Callithrix jacchus: one gene and its partners. The protein of the gene in region 1 interacts with the protein of each later gene in a biochemical or structural test. Links are inferred from orthologs where the notes say so. Each region holds a gene or a part of one and is shown in the gene's direction. Other genes may lie near its edges. The genes, in order: ARHGEF12, IGF1R and RPS6KA1.

Region 1 (3,648 bases):
AATTCTTTTCTCTGTGCAATGACTAGATAGTTGTTTAGTTTTTGTTTGATTAATTTCAATAATTTCAAGCTTGGGGTTTTGGAAATCATTTGATGTCTTTATTCTACTAACCCTCCCTTCTCAGAAGCTTAATTTACTTCATCCTTTCTCCTCCAGTTCCACCATGCAGTATGTTATTCTCATGTATATGAAGCATTTGGGAGTAAAAGTGAAAGAGCCTCGAAATTTGGAGCACAAGCGGGGTCGGATTGGATTTCTTCCAAAAATCAAGGTAAGACTGAAATAATGTAATAGCATGTTGAGGCCTTAGGGCTGCTTTACATCTGGTTGCAGTGTGTTCCATTCATTGTCTTCGTATTTACTTAATCAGCAAATTAATGCTAGTTATACCAACATGTATAAGGTATTATTTCTGTTCTCAAGAAACTCAAAATCTAGTGAGAAATCCAGACATATAAACTAAACTAACATTAGACAATGTGAAAAGTGAAATTAGCAGTTTACAAAGAGTGCTGTCTCTGATTCTGTTCAAGCCTTATACTTTTACTTTGCCTGAACTAATTACTCCTATGTTGTTATATAATTTTCATAAACATCTTTAGTGGCAGTATTCTGTCAGTTTGTAATTAGTTGTGTTTTTGTTTAGGGTTTATTAGATTGGAAAGCTGTATGAATATAAGGACCTTTTTTATTATTATATTCTCAACTGTTAGTATATTTGTTGAATGGATGAATGAATTCTTAATAGAATAAGTTCCTGGTAAATGTGCTATAAAGCTACCCTTTGATTTTTTCCAACTGTCAGTGATGAAGGATTTGCGAAAACATCTTGAGTTTGAGGTGTACACAGTACTGTGTGAACTTTTAATGAGCACTCTGTGTATGTGCATACATATGCACGGGTTTTCATTTACATTTAACAGTTTTTTTGAGCTAATCATTAGCATTACACTATGAAAATAGCAAAAGAAATTTACTCTGTTACATATCTCTTATTTTTTGTACTTCAACTCTAGCAAAGTATGAAGAAAGATAAAGAAGGGGAAGAAAAAGGGAAGCGAAGAGGATTCCCCAGTATCCTGGGACCCCCACGGAGACCAAGCCGTCACGACAACAGTGCAAGTATGTTGACGTTTGAAGTGGTATGTTTTCACTATTCCAGACCCTCTTCATATCAGAGGCTTCTTGGCTAGAATGACTTTCTGGAAAAAGGAGTTGTTAAGATAATGTTGCTGAACGCTTAATATGCCTTGTTTCCGTTCAGCATTATTTCTGAACTGAGTACCCGCTCTCTTGCTACATAATTGTCATAAACATCTTTAGTGGCAGTATTCTGTCAAATGTCCATAACATAGTTTACTTACCTCTTCTGATTCTGTTTGCTTTCAACTTGTATTTGTTAAATTAAAAAAAAAAGTGTGTATATATCTCTCCACCACACTGTTTAGCCTCTTTATACATACTTACTTAGTCTCCTTACTTCTAAAATTTCTCCACATCTCTACTTTATTTTCTGATAGAGATCAGCCCACTTGGGATGGCTGCAGGAGAAATAGGGATGGTGGTACCATGGGAAGGGGTCATGTGATGGTTCTTATCTCAGGCAGTACCACATTTGAAAACACTGAAGCCAGGTGCAGTGGCTCTTGTCTGTAATTCCAACACTTTCTGAGGCCGAGGTGGGAGGATTATTTGAGCTGGGAGTTCGAGACCAGCCTAGGCAACATAGAGAGATCCTCCTCTACAAAAACAACCACCACCACAAAAATGAGCTGGGTATCATGGTGTATGCATGTAGTCTAAGCTACTTGGCAGGCTGACGTAGGAGGATTGCTTTAGTCTGGGGAGTCAAGGCTGCTGTGAGCCATCATCTCACCATTAAACTCTAGCCTGCGTGACAAAGTGAGACACTGTCTCAATAAAAAAAAGATATTGGCATGGTAGAGTGGTGGGAGTGGACCTTTGGTAGTGAATGTCCCACACAATGAGGAGTCCTTACTCAAATGCCAGTAGTGCCCCTTGTTGAGAAACATGGAGAAGGAGGGAAATTTTTAGAGAAAGTTAAAGATATAGTGGATTTCACAGATGCTATCCGTGAATTCCAAGGGATACAAAAGAAGAATTTGAGGAATTAGGGAAGGTGGGGTTAGATGGGTATAAAAAGCTGTGTGAGGGTACAGAACGCTATGGAGGATGAAGACCATAGTGGGAGTCTTCGGCTTCTTGTGGTGACTTTGTGAACAGGATAATTAGCAGGATGGGGATTGGTCTGAATGATCTGTGAGGCACATTGTGATGATGAAGTTGTGAGTGTTTGGGGGAGAACTGGGGTGGCAGCTTACTAAGAACTCACAAATATAAAGGACTTCATCTTCATTCTTACAAATGAGCAAAGCTCCATGTCTGTCTCTCAGCATTCCTCCTCCCTCTGTCCATCACTGCTCTCCTTATTTCCTTTTCTCATGACCCTCCTTCTTTCCCTACTTCCTCCTCTTCCTCACCTTCATCTTACTGCCTCATCCTCATCCCTCCTCCATCTCCCCATCTTTCTCCTCTAACTTCCTCTCCTTTTCTCTCTTCTCTTCTTCCTTCCTTCATCTGTGTGTATGTTTCTCTGTATAATAATTCACTATATATATTTTTAGGGTCCACCATGTTTCAGACATTGTTCCAGATTCTTTTACATTTTCGTTTTTTTCTTTTCAGCTAGTTTGCAATACAGACTATTAACCATCATTTTCTGTTCAGTTGGCAGAGCCATGGAACTACAGAAGGCGCGCCACCCTAAGCACTTATCCACACCCTCATCTGTGAGTCCTGAACCTCAGGACTCTGCCAAGTTGCGCCAGAGTGGGTTAGCAAATGAAGGAACAGACACTGGATACCTGCCTGCCAATTCCATGTCTTCTGTAGCTTCAGGGGCCTCTTTTTCCCAGGAAGGAGGGAAAGAGAATGATACAGGTGAGCTAATGCTATAGTTCAGCTCAATAAGCATCAAGATTTCAAAACAAACAACAGTAACTGAAAAGTAGAGTGGCAAATTATTTTAATCAAGACTAAATCCCAGTTTAATTTTAACATTTTAATATGCTACAACCAATAATAAATTTATGCTGAATGATCATTTTAATTCTCATTTGTCCAAAAAGTATTTACTAAGCTCTCTGTCAGGCATTAGCTTTGTCCCAGATGTTAACGTGCCATAATTATACACAGATGCTTGCCTCATGCAGCTTACTCTCTTGAGAGTGATAGTCACAAATATAAAAGTTGTAAATTGTGCCAAGTCCAGTCAAGGAAAGGTAAAGGGAATATTGAGGTCAGTAACTGGGTGGTAGTTAGAGGCAGATGTAGGTGTCTAAAGAAGACTTTTTAAAAATCTGAGATTAACTAGAGATTTTATTTTTAATTGTTAGTAGGAAACCAGCTGAAAGAAAAGGTAGAATATGTGGGAAAGATATATAAGTATTAGAATAGAGTTGTGAGGATTTAGTGTATGTAATGGATAAGACTATTTACTGAGAGTAAGAGTTCAGTAAGAAGAGCAAAGGAATTTGAAGAGTAAAGAAGGATATGAAGTAATTATTGTAGATAATTGGGCAAGGAGCTTATTACCATGTCTTCATCCTTGTTCTAATGGATTTCTAA
Region 2 (3,648 bases), on another chromosome or scaffold:
CAGTTTCACCGTCTTCTACAAGGAAGCGTGAGTTTCTGCTTTGGGTGATGCCATTCTGTTGACAGGGCTGCGAGTGGGAGAGGCCAGTCTTTTGGTCCTTGCAGGGGTTGGCTGAATGCGGGGAGTCAGCAGGGTCCCCAGGGAGAGCCATGCCAAGCATCCCCACTTCATCTCATGCGCCCTCCTGGGCTGTCCCCATGATGTGAGTCACAGCCAGTGACAGCCACCAATGGGAAAGTGTTAGCTTTGAGGCCTGTCATTCTTTAGTAAGTGATTAGAGATGTTTGAATAAAATAAACCCAAAGTGGGGAAAGCTTGTTTTTTTCCAGAATTAGGTCAGACCAGACTCATAATCGATGACAGGGGACTTCACTGAAATATTGTTTCAGCCTCCTTACCCACTAGCCCTACTCTAGGAACACCCTGCAGCCACATGGCTCTACCGAGGTGACCCATGGCTCATCTTATTCCTGTCTCTCTCTCTCTGTGCCTCTCCCAAGCTGAGGCCCTCCGTTCCAGGTAATGAGCCTCCCAAACAAGCGAAGGAAAGTGGAGAGAGAACAGCCATCATTTCTTGAGCTTTTTGTGACTTCTCCCAGACTCTGTTGGGAGCTTTTCTTGTGCGACCACATGACATTCACCCACCTAAGCAACCAAGGCTCATTCCTTCCGACGGCAGCTCTCTGTTCCTCCTCTTCCTTCCATTGCATCCTGTATCCAGGTGGCTACCCCGGTCTAGTTAGCCATCCACCTTACCCGGGTCCCATCTTAATCCCATAGTTCTGCTCTTGGGAAGCCAGGTACGTGGCTTCCCAAGAGCAGAAAGCAGAGGCACCTTATGACGGCATCTTATACTCTCTTCTGCCAGAGCTGGGGTCCTATGGATGAGAAATGGGATATGAGGATTTCTAGGCTTTCAGGATTTGTACATAGGGGAGCCCCTCGTGACCTCCCATCATGATAGCAGGTATAGATTTGTTAATGTTTGTTTCAGAAGCCAGTGGCCAGCAGCTGCCCAGCCCTTTTATCTGATAGATGTAAAGCATCTACCCAGCCATGCATCTGTGTAAAACACTGTGTTCCCTTTCACAGTCGCACCAATGCTTCGGCAAAGTCAGCGGGTAATTTCACTAAGGACTTGATGCTAGTTTCTAAGGCAATCTGGAAACTAAATATCTGAATATTATAACGTGCTTGAGCATCAGAATTGTGTATGAGCAATTTGAATTTTAGAGGCTACTTCTGTTTGTAGGAAAGTCATTTTTTCTCTAACAGTTACCTTTTATCAGTATCCGATATTTGCATTAACTGACTATGCTTGTTTTTTCTTAATGATGAAAAAAATGCTGCAGTCAGAAGAGAGAAAAATAGTATTTGCATATGTTCTTAAGGAGCAGTCACTAGTGAAACCCAGTAACTGTTGAACTGGCTCTTCCTGAGGCAGAGCATTCAAGTCTGTAGTGCACGACTGGGGAAGCCCGGAGTTCAGTCGCTTCCTTTTCTTCTTCTAAGTCTAATTGATTCTTTCTTTAAACCTCCCATTATAGAGCGTGTGACATGCTGGGCCTCTGGGGAAGGTTTTTGAGTGTTTGAATGTCAGAGCCCTGAACCTTCTCTGAACTTGATTGTCTTTCAGACCCTTTAAGAATGTCACGGAGTATGATGGGCAGGACGCCTGTGGCTCCAACAGCTGGAACATGGTGGATGTGGACCTCCCCCAGAACAAGGACGTGGAGCCCGGTGTCTTACTGCATGGGCTGAAGCCCTGGACTCAGTACGCTGTTTACGTCAAGGCTGTAACCCTCACCATGGTGGAGAACGACCATATCCGTGGGGCCAAGAGTGAGATCTTGTACATTCGCACCAATGCTTCAGGTATCTGTGCCCAGACAAGCCCTCAGCATCCACGCTTCTTCGCCCGCTCACTGGGCTTGCTTATACATGGTGCTGTTGTAGGATTAGCAGTGAGCTATGGCTGTTGTCTTTCTCGTCAATAGGTAATACTGTGTTACATTCATTTTTTTTTTTTGAGACGGAGTCTCTGTCTCCTAGGTTGGAGTGCAGTGGTGCGATCCTGGCTTACTGCAACCTCTGCCTCCCGAGTTCAAGCGATTCTCCTGCCTCAGCCTCCAGAGTAACTGGGACTACGGGCACCTGACACACTCGACTCATTTTTGAATTTTTAGTAGAGATGGGGTTTTACCATGTTGGACAGGCTGATCTTGAACTCCTGACCTCAGGTGATCCGCTCACCTCCACCTCCCAAAGTGCTTAGATTACAGGCATGAGCCACCGTGCCTGGCCCATATCCCCACTTCTAACATGTTAGGCTCTTCGTGCCACCTTCTGGCCTTGGTACCATCTTCCATCATCTCGTTCCTGCTCTGTGCCTATGAGCCCAGGTCCTCCAGGGTGCTGGGCTGGTTTCATTGGAAGGCCCAGCCAGGAAACAGTCATCTCCGGCTGCCCTTCTTCCTTGTTTGTTTTGATGTTCCAGTCTCCAGGAACCGAAAGTGATCTGTGTTCCACTTACTTCCTGTAGCTCCCTGGTGTCCATCGTCATTCTGGAGCCTGTGGAGTTCCAAGGAGGTCAGCAAAAGTTGAAAGACGGCAGATGTAGTATGTTGTGGATAGTCAAAGTTTTCACTGATGAAGATGTTCCTCCTTCCTTCCACTGTCTTCAGGTTCTGAACCACCTCATTTCTCAACTCCAGATCTGGAAACAATAAAAGCAAACATAAGTGTTTTCTGAGTATATAAAAACTAGTTCAGAAGTAGGAAAATGCACTTCAGGTTTAAAGACACTGATTGTTTTAGTCCATTGGAGCTTCTGTCACAAAAAACAGCATAGCCTGGGTGGCTTATAAACAATAGAAATGTTTCACAGTTCCGAAGTCCCAGAGTGCAAAATGAAGGTGCTGGTGGGTTTGGTGTCTGGAGAGGGCCCACTCCCTGGCTCATAGATGGCTGTCTTTTCATTGTCATTGCATGGTGGTGGGGATGCCAGAGCACTCTTCAGGGCCTCTCATAGAAGGGCCCAGATTCCATTCATGAGGGCTTCACCCCCATGACCCAGTCACCTCCCAAAGGCCACATCTCCTAATCCCATCATCTTAGGGGTTAAGATTTCGACCTGTGAATTTTGGGGTGGGACACAGGCGTTCAGTCCACAGCACTGAAACATTTTTTTTATAATAGCCATTATTTTAGTGGGTAAGGTACTTTTAAATACTCACAAGCTAGCACAAAATGAGTTTAAATGGCAGAGAGGAGGTGAGGATAAAATGCTGGCAGGGAGAACCTTTTGCTGTGCATTCCTGCTGCTTCCTCCCCTCCTACCCTATTTCCATGATCCTGTGCATGGCCACAGTCATGTCACTGGGTAACGTGATGATACAAATAAATTTGGCACAGGCTTCTGATCCTGGGTGTGTGTTGGTGTAGCAGAGGCTTAATGCAACACAATAAGTTTTTCATCTTAAAATGTGGAAGTAACCCTGACCAGCAGCTCACTGTAGCGTTTGGAAAACAGGAATCTCTGCTTATTGTGACAGATTCTCAAGAAACCTGTTTCCTTTCCGCAAAGATGGAAACCAGGCACTGTACAAAGGAGTCCATTTACTACCTTTTTCCCCCGTCCTTACACAC
Region 3 (3,748 bases), on another chromosome or scaffold:
GCCTGCCTGTGTGTCTGCCGGGCATCAGACCTATCTGTCCTAGGTGTCTGCCAGTCTACTTGGGCCTCACTGACACTGGCTGTTTCTCTTTGCTGCCTACCTGTGTCTGTTGTTGGATTACAATCTCTGTCTCCACTTGATAAGTACCTGCCTTCACCTGTTGGGCACATGTCACATGTTAGGTGCCTGTTGTTCATGTCCCCTTCTGTCTCTACCTGTTGGGTTTATGTCTTCATTTATCTCTGCCATTGGATACATGTCCCCTCTGTCTCTGCCTGTTGGGTACCTGTCCCCTTCTGTCTCTGCCTGTTGGGTTTATGTTCCCTTCTGTCATTGCCTGTTGGGTTCGTGTCCACTTCTGCCTCTGTCTGTTGGGTTCATGTCACCATCTGTTTCTGTGCTGTTGGATACATGGCCCCTTCTGTCATTGCCTGTTGGGTTTACGTCCCCTTCTGTCTTTGCCTGTTGGGTACATGTCCCCATCTGTCTCTGGCTGTTGGGTACATGTCCCTTTCTGTCTCTGCCTGTTGGGTTTGTGCCCCTATCTGCCTACACACATTGGGGATGAGCTTCTGTTCACCTCTGTCTGTTAGATATGAGTCCCTTCCTGCTGCTTCTTGTTGGGTACATGTCTCCATCTGTTTTCTACTGGGTATGAATTTCTCCTGCCTCTGCCTGTTGGATAGGTATCCTTATCCATCCCTGCCTGTTGGGTATGTGTTCCCTCCTGCCCCTGACTATTAGATGCCATTCTTATCTGTTTCCACCTCTTGGGTGCCTGCTTCTGCCTGTTGGGTGTCTCTCTTCGTCTGCCTCCACAAATCAGGCATCTGTCTTTGCCTGTTGGGTACCTATCTGCTGTTGGGTACCTGTCTGCTCAGCAGCTGCATTGGCAGGGGGCTTTCCCCTTGCAGGCCTCTGCAAAGGGAGGATGGGGGAATGGCCAGAGGGCAGCCCTCAGACACTGGGGAGTGGGGAGAGAGGAAGGGAACGTGGTGAGGGTGTAGGCCTGGAGCTGGGAAACCACAGACCCTGAGTGATTGGCTGCCCTGGGCCGGGCCCAGCCCCCGCCCTTACCCTGCACATCCGCCTTGGTCCGGGCCACCTCCGCGGCAGCCCTGGTCGCTGCCTGCTCCTGCCATGGTGCTGTGGCCCTGCTGGGCGGATGGAGCAGGATCCCAAGCCGCCCCGTCTGCGGCTCTGGGCCCTGCTCCCCTGGCTGCCCAGGAAGCACCGGCCCAGGATCAGCCAGACCTCTCTGCCTGTCCCTGGCCTTGGCTCTGGCTCCCAGCAGGACTTGGTGAGTGTGCCCGGATGTCTGGTCCTGGCCTGGCTGTGTCCCTCGCACAGGTGCCTGGGAAGCTAGCTTAATGCAAGTTGGCTTTGGTCTGTCCTGGCCCTGCCAGGGGTGACTGGACCCTGCCCAGACTTGCTTCCTGGGGAGGTGAAGAGGCACTTGAGGGCTTCAAGGTAATACCAGCAGATTGGAGGGAGGTTAGAGTCCTGGAACAGTGAGGCTCTGGCAAGGCACTTCTAATAGGTTTGTAGGAGGGAAGTTTGGGAAGATGAGCCATGCAATCTCCGGCCTTAACTCTGACCTGCCCCAGGCCAGCGCTGACCAAGTCGATGGGGGAGTTTGGGTGACTCTTGGGTCTTTGTGCACCTCAGCCCTGTCCTACTGACCAGAGGGATCCCTCTTCCCATCCTGACCAGGAATGAAGGCCCAGCTCTACCTCCCCATATGAGAACAAACCTACTTCCTATTGTGGCAAAACTAAAACAGCAGGGGGAGGGAAGCCCCACGGGCAGACCTGGGACAGGTCTCTGGGTCTCAGCCAAGTCGGGTTAGCTGAGCCTGGCCATGCCTGGGCATCCCTCTGGGCCATCCAGAGCATCAGGAGCAATAGGAGTGGTACCTTTTCTGGTTTGACCTCACCAACCTTTGAGGCCCTTTTGAAATTGATGTCCCTGGAGGCTAGCCCTTCAGGGAAGTCATCTGTTGGGCCTTTAGGTCCCATCTGCTGCGGTCTGGTGGGAAGGGACTTGGGCAGGGGGGATATGCCTCCTGCTGCCCAGATGGGGCCCACTGTGCCCACCAGCTCTATCCCTCCATCAGGATGAGGGCGTCCTCAAGGAGATCTCCATCACGCACCACGTCAAGGCTGGCTCTGAGAAGGCTGATCCATCCCATTTCGAGCTCCTCAAGGTTCTGGGCCAGGGATCCTTCGGCAAAGTGAGTCATGAGCCCATGGCTGTGAAGGCAACGTTGGTCATGTTGGAGGTGGGGATCAAGGCTCACCTATGGGCCCAAAGTATCAGAGGTCACCTTGGTACCCACGGAGAGCAAAAAGGTCAGCTTGGGGCTCAGAGAAGATACAGGTCATTGGCCAGGCGCAGTGGCTCATGCCTGTAGTCCCAGCACTTTGGGAGGCTGAGGTGGGTGAATCACAAGGTCAGGAGGTCAAGACCATCCTGACCAACATGGTGAAACCCTGTCTCTACTAAAATACAAAAAATTAGCTGGGTGTGGTGGTGGGCACCTGTAGTCCCAGCTACTTGGGAGGCTAAGGCAGGGGAATCACTTGAACCCAGGAGGTGGAGGTTGCAGTGAGCCGAGATTACGCCACTGCACTCCAGCCTGGTGACAGAGCAAGATTCTGTCTTAAAAAAGTAAAGAAAAAAAGAGGCTAGACATGGTGGCTTACGCCTGTAATCACAGCACTTTAGGAGGTTGAGGTGGGCAGATCACCTGAGGTCAGGAGTTCGAGACCAGCCTGACCAGCGTGGAGGAACCCCGTCTCTACTAAACATGCAAAATTAGCTGGGTGTGGTGGCGCATGCCCGTAATCCCAGCTACTTGGGAGGCTGAGGAAGGAGAATCGCTTGAACCTGGGAGGTGGTGGTTGTGGTGAGCTGAGACCACGCCATTGCACTCCAGCCTGGACTCAGCCCTCTCCCATCTCCCATCTTATCCCCTGCTTCCTGCTCTGCCTTCTCAGGTCTTCCTGGTGCGGAAAGTTACCCGGCCTGACAGTGGGCACCTGTATGCCATGAAGGTGCTGAAGAAGGCGACATTGAAAGGTGAGTAGGGACACCTCCCTGTGCAGAACCCAGGCTGGGCTGAGGGAGGCAGCCCACACTTCAGGGACCTTGGTTCTGGCAAGGAAGACAGCTCTGTCTTCAGAGCACCTAGTTCAAAAGCGGAGAGACAGGCCTATGTCTCAGCCATCCCTCCCCACCCAATCCCCTTCCCCTAAGCCAAGTGCCAATGACTGGCTGTGAAGGTCTGGAAGGTAGTAATAGGATAAATGCATGGCTGGGCGCAGTGGCTCACGCCTGTAATCCCAGCACTTTGGGTGGCTGAGGCGGGGGGATCACGAGGTCAGGAGTTTGAGACCAGCCTGGCCAAGACGGTGAAACCCCATCTCTACTAAAAATGCAAAAATTAGCCAGGCATGATGCCTGTAATCCCAGCTTCTCAGGAGGCTGAGGCAGGAGAATCGCTTGAATCTGGGAGGCGGAGACTGCACTCCAGCCTGGGCGACAGAGTGAGACTCTGTCTGAAAAAAAAAAAAAATTGGATAAATGCAATGTGTTTTTCAGGGGAGGGACCCTCAGATACCAAGCTGGTCTGGCAGAGGCGTTCTGACTATTGGCAGGGTTGCTTCATGATGCTAGAAGAGTCTGAGGGAGACCTCTGTGGCCTCTAACTCATGGGCCTGAGAGAACGGCATGAGTAAAGAGGCAG

What was found.
Region 2: the proteins of ARHGEF12 (region 1) and IGF1R form a complex in vitro, tested with the Homo sapiens proteins (2 studies listed by BioGRID and IntAct, with this or other methods). The link is inferred for Callithrix jacchus from reciprocal best matches to the Homo sapiens genes ARHGEF12 and IGF1R.
Region 3: the proteins of ARHGEF12 (region 1) and RPS6KA1 interact in a test that uses a peptide from one of them, tested with the Homo sapiens proteins (2 studies listed by BioGRID and IntAct, with this or other methods). The link is inferred for Callithrix jacchus from reciprocal best matches to the Homo sapiens genes ARHGEF12 and RPS6KA1.

What each region holds. Positions count from the first base shown.
Region 1 is NC_133511.1:20,095,568-20,099,215, forward strand, and holds part of ARHGEF12 (rho guanine nucleotide exchange factor 12), read left to right. Parts: intron 1-156; coding exon 157-271; intron 272-1,016; coding exon 1,017-1,122; intron 1,123-2,748; coding exon 2,749-2,961; intron 2,962-3,648. UniProt on the Homo sapiens protein: May play a role in the regulation of RhoA GTPase by guanine nucleotide-binding alpha-12 (GNA12) and alpha-13 (GNA13). Acts as guanine nucleotide exchange factor (GEF) for RhoA GTPase and may act as GTPase-activating protein (GAP) for GNA12 and GNA13.
Region 2 is NC_133507.1:10,997,993-11,001,640, forward strand, and holds part of IGF1R (insulin-like growth factor 1 receptor), read left to right. Parts: coding exon 1-27; intron 28-1,636; coding exon 1,637-1,875; intron 1,876-3,648. UniProt on the Homo sapiens protein: Receptor tyrosine kinase which mediates actions of insulin-like growth factor 1 (IGF1). Binds IGF1 with high affinity and IGF2 and insulin (INS) with a lower affinity. The activated IGF1R is involved in cell growth and survival control.
Region 3 is NC_133508.1:63,192,705-63,196,452, forward strand, and holds the start of RPS6KA1 (ribosomal protein S6 kinase alpha-1), read left to right. Parts: upstream 1-1,109; 5' UTR 1,110-1,165; coding exon 1,166-1,300; intron 1,301-2,116; coding exon 2,117-2,233; intron 2,234-2,999; coding exon 3,000-3,081; intron 3,082-3,748. UniProt on the Homo sapiens protein: Serine/threonine-protein kinase that acts downstream of ERK (MAPK1/ERK2 and MAPK3/ERK1) signaling and mediates mitogenic and stress-induced activation of the transcription factors CREB1, ETV1/ER81 and NR4A1/NUR77, regulates translation through RPS6 and EIF4B phosphorylation, and mediates cellular proliferation, survival, and differentiation by modulating mTOR signaling and repressing pro-apoptotic function of BAD and DAPK1.